Tamandua tetradactyla: one gene and its partner. Each later gene encodes a partner of the first gene's protein in a complex. Links are inferred from orthologs where the notes say so. Each region holds a gene or a part of one and is shown on either strand. Other genes may lie near its edges.

Region 1 (8,734 bases):
ACTTCTAGTGCCAGGCACAGGCCTGCACCTGGATGCTTCACTCTCTGATCCCTGCCCCCTGTGAGGTAAATGCTCTTATTCTCCCCAGTTCACAGGTAAGGAAGCTGAAGCTGGGATGGGATGACCAACTTGCCCATGGTCACGCGGAGAGATTGAAGGTCGGTATTCAAATCCAGGTCTGCCTGCCTCCAGAGGCCAGGATTTGTCCATCTTGTTCTGCCATCAACAGATGCAACCACCTGAGACCACTCACCTGGCTCGGGGCTGAAGTGAGAGAAGAAATCTGGGCAGGGGAGGGTGACCCAGTCGCCAGAGCCTGCCACCGGCCAGCACAGCAGGCCATCCCAGGTCCTAGGGCAGCCTGGACAGAGAGATGGGAGCCACAGAGACTCAGCCCAGGGGAAAGGCTCACCCAGCATTCGGAGTGGTGAGGCTGGAGGAGATTAAAGGGTCAGAGAATTCTCCTCTCCCCTTCAGCCCCCAATTCCCTTCCAAGCCCTATACCCAGGGTGGTGTTGGGCAGCCCTTCTGCTGCTTGTTGGCATGCATGCTCATCCTCTCTCAATTGCATGATGAAGTCACATTCTGGGTGCACAAGGCCCAATACCTGCAGAAAAGAGGTAACAGGATGAGCCAAGCACATTGGGAACTTATTCTGGGTCTTCGGTCCAAATGGTCTGAGGGTAGAGACAAAGCCTGACTTGTTTCTGTGCTCTTGATCCTAAGCACAGAGCTTGGCTCACAGCATGTAAAAGGTGTGCCGAATGTATGCTTGGATAAATGGGTGGATGGGTGGGTGGGTGGATGATGGATGGACAGATAATGGATGGATGGATGGGTGGGTGGACAGATGAAGTGATGTTTGAATAAATGGATGGATGCGTGGTTAGAAAGATGGATGAATAATAGTTATGTGAATAGAGACATCAATAGATTAATAAGTATATTGAACACATATGCAACATTTCTAAGTCCTGTGGGTCCCCCTGTTATTCCAGCAATGGCTGCAGTGTTCAGTTCCTCGTGGATTCCATTTGGCTTTATGCACATGCAATTAGACAGCACACCATGTGCCTCTCACTTCCTGTCCCAGCCTCATCGGGTGTTACAGCATGGAATAGCCACAGGAACCCACTCCACACTCATGCATGCAAAATCCAGAACTGCAGGAGGGAATAGGAGTCAATAGATACATTTTTCTCCTTTTCACCTTGTGGAAGCAAATTCTGAGACACCATTAACGAAAGTCCTTATAAGATACCAACGACTCATCTTCCTTTCCTATTTTACTCCCCCTGTTCTGCTCTCATGATCACTGAAATCAATTCCATATAAACTACATACATGGGTGCCCTTGTTCCACGCTCTGCTTTCATGTGGGTGAGCACATGGGAGGGACCCAGGACACTTGCTACAGGCCAATGGGCTGGGAGAGGACATGGAGGCCCAGCCCGGGAGATGGACCCACCCCTACCCGTCCTGCCCCTGCAGAGGAGGGCACTCCCCTCCCAACCTGTTGACCCCACTTCCAAACCCCAGCTTGGGCTCACCTGCTCTGTCATCTCCGGCTTGGCCCTGCAGGGCCTCGGGCTGTACATGCCCACTGTCCAGACCCCAGCTCTCCATTTTGACCAGTATCTCAGACTGTTCTTGGCTTCTTCTCCAGGACTCGTGGCCACAGGGCCATCTGAGCACAGAGCCTCAGCCTCATTACTCCCTTCCCCACCTCCCCCACAGCATGCTGAGCACTGGAGTCAGGGGAGGTGAGGAGTGCCCGAGATGTCCTGTCTGGGACTTTTCTTACCCAGTAGCCTAACTGTAACCTGAAATCTCCATTTGTCCTTCCTCCTCCTCCACTGACTGGCAAGCTCCATCCCTCCCTGGAACATCTTCTCAGGGTCTGCCTGGAGAACTACTGAGGTCGGAGGGACTAGGGCCCTGGTTGGCTGGCTTCCCACCAAGAGTGTGGACCGGCTGTGCCCCAGACTTCCTCAGAGAGGAAGATACTGAGAAACCCAACTAATGGGACAGGAAGTGTGGTCACAGGGCAAGCTGCATGGGGGGTGGGAGCACCCCAACCTATACCCTGTGTCCCACCCACCCTGAGAGGAGACTCCATCACCCTGGGCACTCCCGGGGTCCCTGGGAATGGAGCCTGCAGTGCTGACTGATTGGTTCTAGTCCTGCTGGAGGACCCAGGAGAGGTCTCAGTTCACTCTCCTGAAAATAGAGCTATTGCCCTGGGTGCACACAGATGACAGGGACGAGGATTCCTTCCCTACAGATGAAGAGGGCATGTTCTGTACCCCTGGGCCCGGCCTCGACAAATCAGATCACAATCAATGGACACAGTTTTCCCTTTTTACAAAAGAGGCAAGGGAGGCTCAGGAAGGGTTAGGTACCTGCCCCGGGTCACACAGCTAGTTTTCTGGTGCCAGGATTCAAGTACGAAGCCTGTGCCCTAAGGGCCAGGGCAGAGAAGTAGTGGGAAGGGGTGGCAGCCCCATAAGGCCAGGGTAGCTGAAGCACTGGAGGAAAAATGAGACCTCTGTCTGCCTGGACTCCGACAAGCTCCCCGCAGGCGCTGGCTTCCCCTCCCCATCCCTGCTATCACATCTAGCCACTTCCTGGAAAATGTGCTGGGAGATCACAGCACATTCAGGGAAGGCCCTCTGTCCTGGTGCCCCATTCCTCAGCTCTCTAGACCATAGAGCAAGATGTGGCTGCCAAACGCTCTGCCAGCCCCCAGGGGCACTGCCAGGAGAAGAATCCCCTAAATGCTGGAGGCGAGCAGCTGCTTCTCCATGTACTACTCGGGACCTTGCTCAGTCTCAGCATCAGACTCTTAAAAGGAAACCAGCCACTTGGAGTGTGGCTCAAGGGAGTTATGGGGACAGGGAAGGGTCTGGAAAACCTATCAGAGGAAGCGCGTGTGTAGGAATTGGGGGGTGTAGCTTAGAGAAAGTAGACTTGAGGTGAGTACTTTGTCTTGCCAATTCTGAAGCAGCTTCTTGTGCCTGCAGAGGGCATAAACAGGCTCTGGGAGGAACAGTGGGGAGCGGGGCTCAGCTCGGCACTGGGGAGATCTAGTCAGAGCTACCCAGAAATGGAACTGCTGGCCTCGGGGAAGGAAGGAGACTGCTTAGTAGAGATCCTGCATGGAGGAAGGGCAGTGGGGTCTCCACCAGGCTCCGGTTGGTCTCCCAGCAGCCCTATGGCTCCCAGACCCGGAGCCCCGCGGGAGAGGCAGGAGGGTCTGAGCAGGCTACTCACGATTGGAAATGGGCTCAGTAAGCAGAGGAGGCAAGTGCCCCATGTCCGGCTGTCCATGCTGGGGACTCAGCAGAGGTGGTCCTCTTCCCTCTCCCACATGCCCTCTCCTGCTGCCACCGCCCGCCACCCTCTGCGTCCCTTCTCAGGCTGCTGTTTGCATAAGCAAGAGCTAGAACTGGCTGAATATTCACCAGGACTGCAGGATGAGGTTTCCAACTCAGCCCTGGCCTAGGCTGGGACTCTGTGTCCACAGCAGGGAGGGGCTGAGGCCCCCACCTCCTTCCGTGCCGTTCGTAAGTCTACCTATGTGTCTGTCCTGATGGCAAGGGCCCAGAGACATGACAGCCATAGGAACCTGCCTTGCGGCAGTTATTCAATATCCTTTACCATTTTGCCCTCTGGGCCCAGCCACTTGCTAGCCTACATAGTAGAGGGAGCCCCCAGCCTCCAAATGACGGGCCCTGGGGGATGAGAGAGGAGACCTGGCCCCTGCCCCCCGGGGAGCTCCCAGACCAGCTGATGATTCCAGCTGAGTCCACAGGGCTGAGGACTGAGCTCAGAGCTGGGGGGATGGAGCCAGTGAAGAGGGTAGGGCAGGAAGAAGGAGCTTAGCAGAGGAGCCCCAAGCACCAGCGTGGGCCAGCCTAGAAGGACCGCAGAACTTCACAAGAATACCTGCCTGGGTGATGAGGGGAAATCTGTAAGTTTTCAGGCCCTGGGCTTCACCTGGGGGCCGGTCAAGTATCTCAGGAGCCCCTCAGGACAGCAAGGAGAGGTAAGCTTGATGGAGAGCCTGGCGAGGCACTACAAAGCTAGGCTAGCTGAGCCCGGGACCTCTGGGGCACAAAGACTTATCAGTACCAGCAATAAGAAGACTATACAGCCCCAGAAAACATTTTGAACGTTTGTTGTCTGGTCATTATTACAGTTTTAGACCTCAAAACGTGGGCTCCCAAAAGGCCAGGCTTAAAGACAGTTCTAAATTGCCCTAGATCCTGCAGAACATGAAATGTGGAAGCAGATTTGATATTTGAGGGCCCTAAGCATCCGAAGCCCTGGGAAGCCCTGAGACTTGCCTGCAGGTCTTCATTCCCCGCAGCTGTAGGCCCGGACGGAGGCAGTGTCAGCACGCATGTTTGCAGGCTTGACGCATTCCGCAAATGATGCACTGTTCCCCACCCCCGCCACATCTGGATTGAGGAATCGTTTTACATCAGCAGGGTTTTATTTTTCCGTATTTGTCCACTGCCAAGAAAACATTAAATGAAAGGATTTTGAAAATAAAACGAGAGCAACACCCAAGCCCCACCACCCCATACCCTTGGACGAGTGTTTCCATGTGTTTGCTGTGATGGTGAAAGCGCACATTTTCAGGGTGATACAGAAGAAAGACTCACCTGTTGGGAGACCAGAATGTTGAGAGGGTAGACCTTAAAGGAAAAGTTGCAACCTCATATCCCTCAGCTCCAAATAGGTAACAGGCCAAGGGCAAATGTTAGGATTATCACCACTGATAATTAGTGTCGAAATCAGTAGCATTAATGATGATTAATAATTGATAGTGGCACATTAATAATAGTTATTATTATCTGAATTAGTGGTTCTTAACCAGGAGCAATTTTGTCCCCTGGGGGACAGGGCAATGTCTAGAGACATCTTTCACTGTCACCACCCAGAGTGGAGGAGAGTGGGGGAAGTGGCAAGGTGGGACTTGCATTTAGTGGGTAGAGGCCAGGGCTGCTGCTGAATTCCCTACAATGCAGAGGATGACACCTCCCCGCCGCCACCAGCTAAAACATTTTCCAGTCCGAAATATTAATAGTACCAAGGTTGAGAAATCTTGACCCAAAGGTTTGTATTCCCAGGGTTCTTCCAGGCCTGTCATTCTTTTTTAATAGCCCAGGGTCACGGTACTCCATTCTAGCTCTCTATACTCTAGGTCCAGATTCTAGACCCATTGCTTGCTATCTATGTGACCTTGAGCAAGATATTTAATCTTTATGAGCCTCAGTTTCCCCATCTGAAAAATGGAGATAATCCTACTATTACCTTCCTTGTAGAATTGATGGGATGAATAAAGAAGGAAAGGCGCATAGAGCACCCAGGCAGGGACCATCTCACAGTCGGCGGCCTTGATGGTAGCATGTGACAAGGATGGACCACCAACAAATAAAGTAGGGACAATTGATTCTTTGTCTGAAAAAAATAAGATTAGACCTCTGGCTCACATTTACACGTATAAACTGAAGGTTTAAAGTCTAACTATAAAGTAGCAAAATAAAAAGAATTTTTCAAATAATAGAAATTTATTTTATGTCCTTAGAATAAAGGAGGTTTTCCTATGTGAAAAATATAAAGGAAAGATCATTAAGTTTGAACACATCGACATCAAAAAAGTATGTGCAAGGGCAGGCCATGGTGGCTCAGCAGGCTAAGTTCTTGCCTGCCATGCCGGAGACCCAGGTTCATTTCCCGGTGCCCGCCTATGCAAAAAAACAAAAGTATGTGCAAGAAAAGACACCATAGATTAAAAGTAAGCAAGCCATATACTCAGAGAAATATTTACAAAAAAAATTTTAAGTAACGAAAGTATAGTACCAAAAGTAGATAAAGAATATCTAAAAATTAATAGTAAAGAGTAAAATAATCCAATAGAAAAGGGAGCAAAGAATAAAACAGGCAATTCATGAAAGAAGTAAAGCATAAGGTCAATAAACAGATGAAGAATTGTGCAAATTCACTGATACTTAGGAAAATTAGAATTAAAATAATAATGAGCTACCTTTATCCCCTATCACATTGCCTGAAATTTTAGTGTCTGATAATATGATGTTTGGAGGATACTGTGGGGAAATATGTACTTTCACACTGTACTGATGGGAGTGAACACTGGAGCTGCCATTTTGAAAAGCAATTTGATGCTTTCTATCAAATCTAAAAATGAACATAACTTATAAATCAGAAATTCTATTTATGGGTATTTTCCCCAAAAAGCATATTATTTATAATATGTAGTAAAAATCTAGGAACAACACAAATGTCTAGGAAAAAGAGACATAAACAAAATGAGATATGGTCATACAATGCAATACTTTATAGCAGTTTAAAGAAATGAACTAAATCTACATATCTGAGCATGGAGCTGTCTCAAAAATATATTTTGAGGAACTTCTGCGTCTGGCTCTAGTAGAGTAACAGGGACCGTTCTACCCTCCTGCCCTAGCAACAAGAAATCCTAACAAAACATACAAAGTATTGGGCTTTTAGACACTGAAAAACAAACAAGCCAAGATCTGCAGTATCTTTGTAGATACCTTTGGCTGAGTACCTACCTGTGAGTATGTGAGAGGAAATTAAGCAAGACTGGAGAAAGAATGTCTGGAGTGGAGTAGGCAGAGCTAGATCTCAGAATTGCTGGAAATACTTTGAACTTCACCAGTTCAAGTGGAAAGACCTTGTAACAAACAGGGCATGGGGTAGAATCCTCAAAATAGTATCACTTTAGTAATGGAACTAAGTTAGACCTCGAATAAGGGTATGCAAGACCCACCCTAGCAAATCTTAAAAGCAAACTTCAAAAGGCTCCAAAACATTCCATTGTCCACCGGGGGAGAAAATCCAACACTACTAAAATGAATAAAACAAAATTCAGCAAATCACATGGTAATGTTCACATCTGACACCCAATAAAAAATTACCAAGCATGCAAGGAGGCAAGAAAATATGACACATAACTAGGAAAAGAGTAATTCAATAGAAACAAACCCAGATGTGACAAAGCTAATGGGAATAGCAAACAAAGATGGTAAAATGGTTATTATAAACATGCTCCATACATGCAAGGAGGAAAAGCAAAACCTGACCATGTGAGAAGAGAAATGGAAGCTATAAAAAAATGATTCAAATTCACTTTATGAAAATGAAAAATACAGTATCTGAAATGAAAAGTATACACTGGCTGGGACTAACATCAGATTAGACATTTCAGAAAAAAAGAACAATGAACTTGAAGATATCACAACAAAAACCATCTAGAACGAAAAACAAAGAGAAAAAATACTAAAGGAAAAGGGCTGGAAAAAAGAACACAACATAAATCACTTTGGGGAAGCTGTCAGGTGGTCTAACATATGTGTAATTGGAATTCTAGAAAAAAACAAAGGGTTCAGAATAAACATTTGAAGAAATAATGACTACAGATTTTCCACAGTTGATGAAAACTATAAGCCCATTGGATCCAAGTAGTTCAGTCAACAGAAAACAGAATAACCATAAAGAAAATCCCTCCAAGGCACATTATATTGAATTACTGAAAACTGGTGACTCTTATCAGCAACTGAAGGGAAAAGATTCATTGTGCGCAAAGAAGCAAAGATAAGAATTAAAGCCAACTTCTTGTCAAAAACTATGCAAGTCGGGGGAGTCATGGATACACATCTTTGAGGTACTGAAAGAAGAAAAACTATCAAACTAGAACTCTTTATCTAGTGAAAATGTCTTTCACAAATGAGCAAAATAAAGACCTTTTCAGTGAAACAAAAACAAGAAAATTCATTACCAAAAGACTACTAACAAGAGCTGTTAAAGGAAGTTTTTCAAGCCAAAAGGAAAATGATGGCAGGTAAAAATTTTTAGAATAACACTAAGAAATAGAAAATCTTGGAAATGGTGAATAAAAGGATGAATATAATTTTTGAAAAGTTTTACATTCTTAAAAGGTAATCGATGGCTTAAAGCAAAATTAAAGTAATGGTTATATTTTATAGCATATGGAGAGGTAAAAAAGTATGAAAATGATAATAAAAAATTTGGAGGGAGAAAATGAAAGTATAAAGTTAAGAACTGCTTATTCTTTATTAAATGAGACATATTTTAAGGTGCTTTAATAAATTAAGGGTATATATTAGAAATCCTTGAGTTCCCACTAAAAAAAATCAGAGATATAGTTAATTAGCCAATAGTGGAGATAAAATGAAACTGATTAACCCTAAAGAAGGAAGAAAGAAAAAAGAAGAAATGGGACAAATAAAGAGCGAATAGCAAAATGATAGAGGTAAATCCAGCAGCATAATGAATAAATTAAATTAAATAGTCTATTCATCCCAATTAAAGAGATTGTCAGATTGAAAGTTAGAGCAAAATCCAACTGTGTGCTGCCTATAAGAAACCTACTTTTAATATAAAAGCACAGATAGGTTAAAAATTAAAGGATGGAAACAAACAGACTTGTCATGTAAACAATAACCAAAAATAAGTAAATAAAAAGCTATAGGGTCTATATTAATATCATACAACACAGTGTTAAACTTCAATTAATAATAATGTTTCATGTTGGTTCACTGTGAAAAGTGTACCACATTAATATAAGATTTAATAGTAGGGTAAACAGGATGTAGAGTATATGGGAACGCTCTGTACTAACTCTGTGATTGTTTTGTACACTGTTTTAGGGAAAAAAGCA
Region 2 (8,166 bases), about 77 Mb from region 1:
GGTCAGAGGTCAGAGGGCAGGGTGGCCGGGGCCAGGCAAGAAAATACTGGGGGCCTGTACTCACTATGTCTCCTCAAGATCCTTCTCTTGCCCTTTGTCCAGCTCACCCCCAGATTGACTCAGACCCAGGCCTGGGTGGCCTCTCTGGAGCTCAGGGTCTGCCCCCTTCCCGGAGATGGGGAGATAGGCAGGGGACAGCTAACGACTTGCTTCTGCATCCCGCAGCCCTCTGTGGCAGGGATGGCTTGGGAATGGCCAGAACCCCAGGCGCTGTGGGCCAGGCCACGTACCTGAGGGGCAGGGAGGGCAGGGAGCAGTAGGAGCTGCTGCTGAGGGCGAGGATCATGAGGAGGAGTATCCAGGGCATCATCCTTCGCTCCGGGGCAGGCACCTGGAAAATGACAGTGGGGGGAGGGTCTGGGGCAGCCACGGCCACTGGTGTGCCCTTTTCTGGCTCTCGCAGTCATGGGCTCTGACCTCATTTTCTCCATCTGGAAAATGGGCATGATAAAGCTGCCCCGTTGACCTTTTGTCCCAGGCGCCAGAGGCCCCACCAGCCACGTAGAGGCCCCACCACTCACCTAGAGCCGAGTTGTGGTTTCTGGCAGGCAGGGCTAGCACTGGTGAAATCCACCTTTCTTTTCTGGACTTACTTGCCCTCTCAGAGCATCACCCCTTTCCTCCCAGGTCCTGAGGTCTCAACTAACCCAGGGATGCCTTGGTCCCAGAGGGAGCACCCTTCAGGTCTGCTCACTGAGGTCTGAGAGTCCCACATCTCCAGAGCTGGAGGGAGCAGCCACCCAGGCTTCAGGAATCTGTTCCCTCCACCACCGCCTCCAACAGGCAGCCCTCCAGCTCCCACTCTGGCATTCGCTGGTCAGTGATGACGGGGAGCTCACTAACTCCAAGCCAGTCTGTCCTATCTCCAGGCAGCTCTTATAGTTATGAGGTTTTTCTCATCTTGCCAGGCCCACATATCTCCTTATCCTGCAAATATTTGTTAAGTCTGTACTATTCTGATAAAGACTTGGGGCTAGAGAAAAGACTAGAATATTGTATCTGCCCCCAGGGCTGCCCTTTTCACATCCACCTGCTGTGCCTCCCAGAGCCTCACACCTTCATCCACAGGATGAGACCCTTAGATGAGTTTTGCATCTGACTTAAGCCTTTGCTCCTCGGACCAAGGATCTCCAGTAGTTTGCCATCCTCCTCCTTGTAGCACCATACTCCCTGGCTCCCCCAGCCTGGTCCAGGCTGCTTCTCTGGCAGTAAAATTTCCTAAGCAGAGAGGTCTTCAGGAGCAAGGAGGGCCCCTTAACACAATGCACTGTAGCCTGGGCTTTCTTGCCTCCTTTGCTGATGATCTTCTAAAGATTTGGGCACATCCAGCCCCCCAGACACTTCACTCTCCTGCTCAGAAGCCCTCTCCCTTCAGAGTTCTCCCTCTGCCTCCCACCCCTTCCCCCTAGAGTCCCCCTCAGTGGTTCCCAGCCCCTGTGCCCCCCTGGTCCACACAGCCCGTGCTCACACTCGCCCCCCAGAGCAGGTATCATGACCCCCATTGTACAGCCAAGAAAACAAGCCCGGGGAGGAGATGGGCCCTTTCCCATGGCCCTTCATCAAATTAGTTTAGGAGTGGGCACTTCAGGATGGGCCTCCCGATTGATTCCCAGGCCAGTAGACTTCCTCCTGCTCCCCTCAGCAGCCTCCCGGCTACAATGCCCTATTCACAGCCCTCCCTATTCATGGTGCGCCTCAGAAATCATCACCTGCACGTGGGAAACAGCTGAAAAAAAAGAAAAAGGAAATCATTCACTCCTTGTCACTGGGGCTCTAGGAGAAGGAGAAAGAGGGACAAACAGGAATACCTGTTTGGTGCCTCCCTGTGCACCCACAGTGGTTTCAGGGAGTTGAAGGTCCCTGTAAGAGTGCAGGACCGGGGGTCAAGTAACAGTAAATATGGCAACATCTTGCTCTCAAAATGAGACTGAGTAATTGTACATTCTGGCTAACCAAGAGACACGTGTGTGGTAAAGCAGGTGCCCTAGGTTTGGGTCAAGCCTCCACTGCAACCTCTGGCCTATGAGACTGTTATCCACGGGGCTGCAAAATCCCACTGGACAAAGATGGGAAGCAATCAGAATTATCCAGCTCATGGTAAAATAAGAAAAGAGCTTGGGCAACAGAGGATAAAATCGCTACTGACAGATACATTCCACATGATCATTCTAGGGAGCTAGAACTCCCTGAATTAAGTGTGACACCAACCCAACAGCAATACCAATGACTTCTAGATGACTCCAAAGGCATTTTAGAGTTTATTATCTATCATTATGAATACCAGCCAATTTTCTGCTGTGCTTACAAACTAATTCTGTGATTAGATGCATTCGAAGTCATTTGGATTCAGGATAAATGGGCACTTGCTCTTCATTAGTTGGCACCTTTTGCCAGCCTTCAAGCCAAGAATGCCATGAGAATTCTGCAGATGCAGCTTCAGCGAGAGACAGAAGTCAGATCTCAAGTGCAAAGACTAGTGAGGCCACTTTTGAAAATGTAGGAAAAAAGAAACTTTTACAAAACTTTCCTAAATATTCTGCTTTGTAATTTGGGAAGCCTAAAGCAATGGCATCCCAACCCAGTTTAAAAACTGTCTCACCAATAGTGCTCTAAGTCAAAGGAAATCTGTTACTACTGAGGTAGCATCTTAACTGTCATCCAAAAGAGTGAGGGACACCCTGTCTTCTGGAAAGGGTGAATACATCAGACTCATTAAAGCAAGGATTGAGATAACAGTGATGGGGTAATGGAGGGCACCAAGGATGGATAATTGTGTCTAAAACCTAGAGTAAAGAGCACAGCTGCAACTGAGCAAGAAAGCAAAATGTTATCAATTCCCAGGCAATTAGGTTGAACCGGTTCTGGGCAGTATTGATTTGCACAGCTACTTGGCTTCTCTCGGATCCATGGCAGAATCCCATCGTTGACAAGATAATTAGCCAGCTCATGCCTTGCCCCAGAAGTGTGCTTGCACGCCCTTGAAGGTACACTGACACCTCACTCGCCTTCAACAGATGCCTACCAAACACTTCCCCATGGGTTGAGGTGCTACGGCATCCAAAATAATCCTCAACTGGTGCCAGCCCTCAAGCATGTGCCAGAGCCTCTAAAGAGGGCTTATTTTACCCAGAAAGGGGCACAAATGTACTCACCAGTCAATGGGCAAAGAGGGTGGTGCCGGACCCCCTTGACTTGGCATCTCTGAGTTGGTGAGAAGGTCAACTTTTCTCGCCCCCATCCAGCCCAGCCCCAGGGCCACCCCTGCTCACCTCCGATGTGACAGGTCTCCCTCTGCTATGAGTCGCTGCTCCAGTTCCACGGACCTCAGCCTCGGTGTCTGCTCCGGCGGCTGCGTGGCACTCCCACCATTTATACCTTCATTTTCCTAAGCATTGTCAGCGTCAGAGAACCAATTACCCACAAGTCAACCAAAGGACCATTTTTAGCATCACAGTGACAAACCCTAATAGGGGAAAGAGGTTTTTCCCCTTGCAAATTAAGACTCCTACTGACCTTTCCCTTTATCTTTGAGGGAACAGAAAAAAGTCAAAGTTGCAATATTATTCCAGCAGGAATAGAGTGTGTAATACTGCTGCTCTAATAAATGGAGTACTCAAAACAATGAAACACCAAGGATGCATTTGTTCTTGAAAACAATAATTTTGCGTCTTTAAAAAATTCGTATAATTTTGTCTTGTCCAGATGATACTTTATTTCACCTTAGGGGAGCCAAAATAATAAACGTTTTGCTCTCCTTAGTGAAGAAAGTTGTTTGCTCTCTCCCTTGTCCAATTATCAAGATTTTTCTCTGTTTGACTTGCGCCTGCTGCGGTCACAGGCTGGTCTAGACAGCTAGCCCCGGGAGCTTCCTTCATCTTGTGTCAAGGCAACCAAGCATCAGTAGTCGCCTCTGAGATGTGTGAAGAGAAGGGAAGGAGATGGAAAACCTTGGGAGAGATGTTGTGCTTTCAGATTTCCCTAGCATATGGCTAAGGAATCCTCTGGAATAATATAAACGTGACGCAGACACACCGGTGTCCCACACTGCTTTCTGTGGCGATGTGGGAAGAGTCAGGAGAACTGCTGCGTCTCCCATGCCTGTCAGTCCCCACCTCTGTGACCCTCAGCAAGTTACTTCTACCCTCCAGGCCTCAATTTCTTTTCCTGTAAACTTGAGAGTTGGCTCCGAACATCAGCTTTCAAACTTGTTTTAAAAAATGGCATACCCCCTTCCTTCAGAAATCTTCTGTGGCAGCACAGTATATAAAACAGATAGAAAACGGGGCTGCTGTGGTTAAAGAGGAGGCAGCAGAGACTCCCTTTACCTGACCCTTAGACACCCCTGTGGGGCACAGTTAAAAGTGAGTTGTTTCTAAGGACCCTGCTAGCAACAATATTTCGTGATTCTGCTTCTTGGCTTGCACTGAGTGGTATTCTTGACACAGAGCAAGCATGGACTGCTTCTCCTAGAAGCAGGGACTAAGTGGCATGTTGCTCTGCCCATCTGGACACAGTGTGATCAGGGCAGGCCGGACCCCCTGGGACACAGCAAGAGGCAGCAGGTGGAACTGTCTGTGGACTCTCCTCAGAGAGTCAGAAGGACTAGAGGATGCAAGCCAGGGACCACGTGGAGCTGGGGACCCAGACTGGATGCCAGGCCAGAGCCCAGAAGCCAGACACATGGAGTTAGCTGGAGAACCGTGGGGGTCAGAAGTCAACCCCAGTTGGGGCTCTGTGCCAGGTGTTGCAAGAAGGACTTCATGTCTCACCCCAGTTTCCTCATCTGTAAAGTGGGTGTGAAGGACTCAGCAGTCGAAGCTGTTGGGTACCGGCCTGACATAGGGTCAGCCTCACCGATTAGCTATTACTACTGCTTTGTTGCTACCAACAAGAAAAGTTACATACTGATCGCAGTCACAGAGCTGGTCAGGGATAAAGCCAGGACTCCAGCAAAGGTGGGCTGACTCCCAAACTCATGCTCCACCTCAAGCTAATGTTCTCCTGAGGCCCTGCCTTGGTCCCATCAGTTCTTCTTCCTTATCTTTTTCTTTTCAAAGAGCTTTAACAGTTTTATTGACGTATAATCAATATGCCATAAAACTCACCTGTTTTAAGTAAACAGCTCAATGAGTTTTCATAAATGTATACAGTTGTACAGCCAGCACCACCATCCTGTTTTGGAACACTTTCATAACCCTGCAAATTCCCCAGAGCCCATTTGTTGTCAGTTCCCATGGCCTACACCAGCTGTAGGCCACCACTGATCTGCTTTCTGTCTCTATGGTTTTCCTTTACTAGAAAGCTCATATAAATGGAAGCATACAATATGTACTCTTGTGTGTCTGGCTTCTTTCACTCAGCATAATGCTATCAAGATTCAGTCGTGTTATTCCATGTAGCAGTAGTTTGTTTCTTTTTCCTGTTGGGTAGTATTCCCTTGTATTGCAGTTCATTTATCCATTCATTTGTTGATGGACATCCGAGTTGTTTGCAGTTTGGGGCTATTCTGAATAATACTGCTATGAACATCCAAGTACAAGATTTTGTGCGAACATATGCTTTCATTTCTCTTGGGTGGGTACTTAGGAGTGGATTCACTGGGTTGTATGGTAAGTGTACACTGAACTTTTTTTAAAAAATATTTTTATTGACAAATCTTCACAAACATACAGTCCATACATGGTATACAATCAGTGGCTCACAATATCATCATATAGTTGTGTATTCTCACCATAATCATTTTTTTGTGAAACATAACCACATACAAATACAAACATTCTTACCATATAATCATTCCTTTCTTGTTATATAAATAACTCACAATATCATCACAGTTGTATATTCGTCATCACGATCATTTCTCAGAACATTTGCATCAATTCAGAAAAAGAAATAAAAAGAAAACAGAAAAAACTCATATATACCATACCCCTTACTTCTCCCTTTCATTGATCACCAGCATTTCAATCTACCAAATTTATTTTAACATTTGTTCCCCCTATTATTTATTTTTAATCCATATGTTCTACTTGTCTGTTGACAAGGTAGATAAGGAGCATCAGACACAAGGTTTTCACAATCACACAGTCACATTGTGAAAGCTATATCATTATACAATCATCATCAAGAAACATGGCTACTGAAACACAGCTCTACATTTTCAGGCAGTTCCCTCCAGCCTCTCCATTACACCTTAACTAGAAAGGTGATATCTACTTAATGCGTAAGAATAACCTCCAGGATAACCTCTCGACTCTGTTTGGAATCTCTCGGCCATTGACACTTTATTTTGTCTCATTTCACTCTTCCCCCTTTACACTGAACTTCTTAAGAAACTGCCGAGCTGTTTTCCAAGGTTGTTATAACACTTACGTGCCTGCCAGCAGTGATGGAGGGCTCTCCCACCGGTTCTTAAAGACGCTCAGTCATCACTTATTTCCTTAACCCACAAACACCTAAGTACCCAGTTAGGACCACGCAAGGCTCGTTGGGTTAGCTGTCCATCACTGAACCATCTGGTCCCCTTTCTGTTGTTAGGGGAGTGGGGCAGGGCATTTTCCTAGGTGCCATGAGAAGAGCAGAATGTGTGGTACCCGGCTTGTCTTCAGTGAGCTGCAGGAAATGGGCATGTGAGAAGCGAGTAATTATTCCAGGCAGAAGTTCGAGAGAGAGGAACATGCCATGAAAGCTCCAATATCTGAGAGCAGAGCGGAGTCACACAAAGCTGAGAGAGCATCAGAGAGGAGGGGAGAGAAGCCGCTGGGTCTAGAAAAGGAGTACAGGCTTAGGTAACAAGAGGATCTGGATTTGAAACCAGTTCTGCCACTTACAAATTGTCTGATTCTGGACAGGTCGCTTAATCTCTCCCAGCCTCTGTTATCTCATCTGTACAATGGGGTTAGTAACACCTACCACTCCAGGTTGTTGTGAGGTTCAGAAACATGCTTGTAAAGTGTCTGATAGATTCTTGGCAAATGGTAGCTGCTTTTATAGTTCTTATGATCAGAACTGAGCCCTAAAAGCTGGGTGGGGTGGTGGTAGGGAGAGCTGAGACTAGTCTTGGTGACAAGCTTTATTTACAGTGGATTCTCAGACCTGTTCAGGAAGGGCATGGGGGAGAAAGCCAAGAAGAGCTGACGCGCGGTGGGAATGAGGGTGCAGGCCCCTCCAGTGATTCCCCCCCGCCCTCCTTGTCCTTTCCACCCCACCCCTACCCCCCCAAGAAGCAGTGAGAGAGCCACCCCCGCCACCAGGTCCTCGGTGCTCTTTCCCAGGACATGTTTTAACCCGGTATTAATTAGCGATAGCGGCTGCATCTAGGAGCTAGGGGCTCAATCTTGTAAAAAGAAAGCGCCCTAGAGAATGGCAGGCTCCAAAAGACCCCAGAGGGTCGGGGCAGTGGGACTCCACCGAGAGGGAGACAAGCCCTGCATTTGTGTTGCAAATTTCCAATGTGTGCGAGCCAGTCATTCAAAGAGGGTGACGCTAAAGGCAGTGGGAAAGGGGGTGGGGAGGGGAGTGGAAGTCGACAATGGGGGCCTGTCTGAGGACCTCAGACCCTGCTTTGTAAAAGCTGCTTTTATCGTCCTCCATGGATTATGGCAGTGCTTCCAGCTGAGGCTACTGGCAATGGAAGGGAGAGGCCTGGAGTCCCGACTCCCAGAGTCCTTTGACTCCTTCTGCTCCCCCTTTCTCCCTGCCCCCTGGCCTGCTCGGCCCCTTTTTTATGCAGTCAGCAGCAGCAGATGCCATATGAGTGCTTGTGAATCCTTGGTCAGAGTGAGGGGACGGGGTGGACTTAGGTAAAGTCACTTGACTTCCCTGAGCCTCAGTTTCCTCTTCTGTAAAATGGGCCAATCAGATCCTCTCTTCCTGCTTCACAATGGCCATGGCCCCTGTGAAAAACTGTGAAGTATAAGACCCTACCGGAGCAGAAGGGTCTGTGTTTAGATGGTGATTAAGATGTCCCTGTCTTTCTGGAAGAATCTGCATGTGGGACGGTCACTGGAAGAGCTTTTAATGAAGAGGTGAAGTCAACTGACCTTAGTGAATTAATGTAATGACCTGGCGGGTTACTTGGAAATGTCATTCTAGAGTATTTGAAAT

Evidence for each region.
Region 2: the proteins of GHRHR (region 1) and GHRH are in contact, whole or in part, in a cryo-EM structure (PDB 7CZ5), measured with the Homo sapiens proteins. The link is inferred for Tamandua tetradactyla from reciprocal best matches to the Homo sapiens genes GHRHR and GHRH. Residues at the interface, in NP_000814.2 of Homo sapiens: Leu119, Ala120, Glu122, Glu123, Phe126, Ser127, Val129, Lys130, Tyr133, Val179, Lys182, Leu186, Phe187, Asp190, Thr192, Asp193, His194, Cys195, Phe197, His210, Thr213, Phe217, Ala271, Cys272, Asp274, Leu275, Asp276, Trp282, Ile285, Ile289; in NP_066567.1 of Homo sapiens: Tyr32, Ala33, Asp34, Ala35, Ile36, Phe37, Thr38, Asn39, Ser40, Tyr41, Arg42, Val44, Leu45, Gly46, Gln47, Leu48, Ser49, Ala50, Leu53.

What each region holds. Positions count from the first base shown.
Region 1 is NC_135327.1:91,808,377-91,817,110, forward strand, and holds the start of GHRHR (growth hormone-releasing hormone receptor), read right to left. Parts: upstream 3,331-8,734; coding exon 3,274-3,330; intron 608-3,273; coding exon 505-607; intron 362-504; coding exon 254-361; intron 1-253.
Region 2 is NC_135327.1:14,938,153-14,946,318, reverse strand, and holds the start of GHRH (somatoliberin), read right to left. Parts: upstream 3,441-8,166; 5' UTR 3,330-3,440; intron 392-3,329; 5' UTR 371-391; coding exon 291-370; intron 1-290. UniProt on the Homo sapiens protein: GRF is released by the hypothalamus and acts on the adenohypophyse to stimulate the secretion of growth hormone.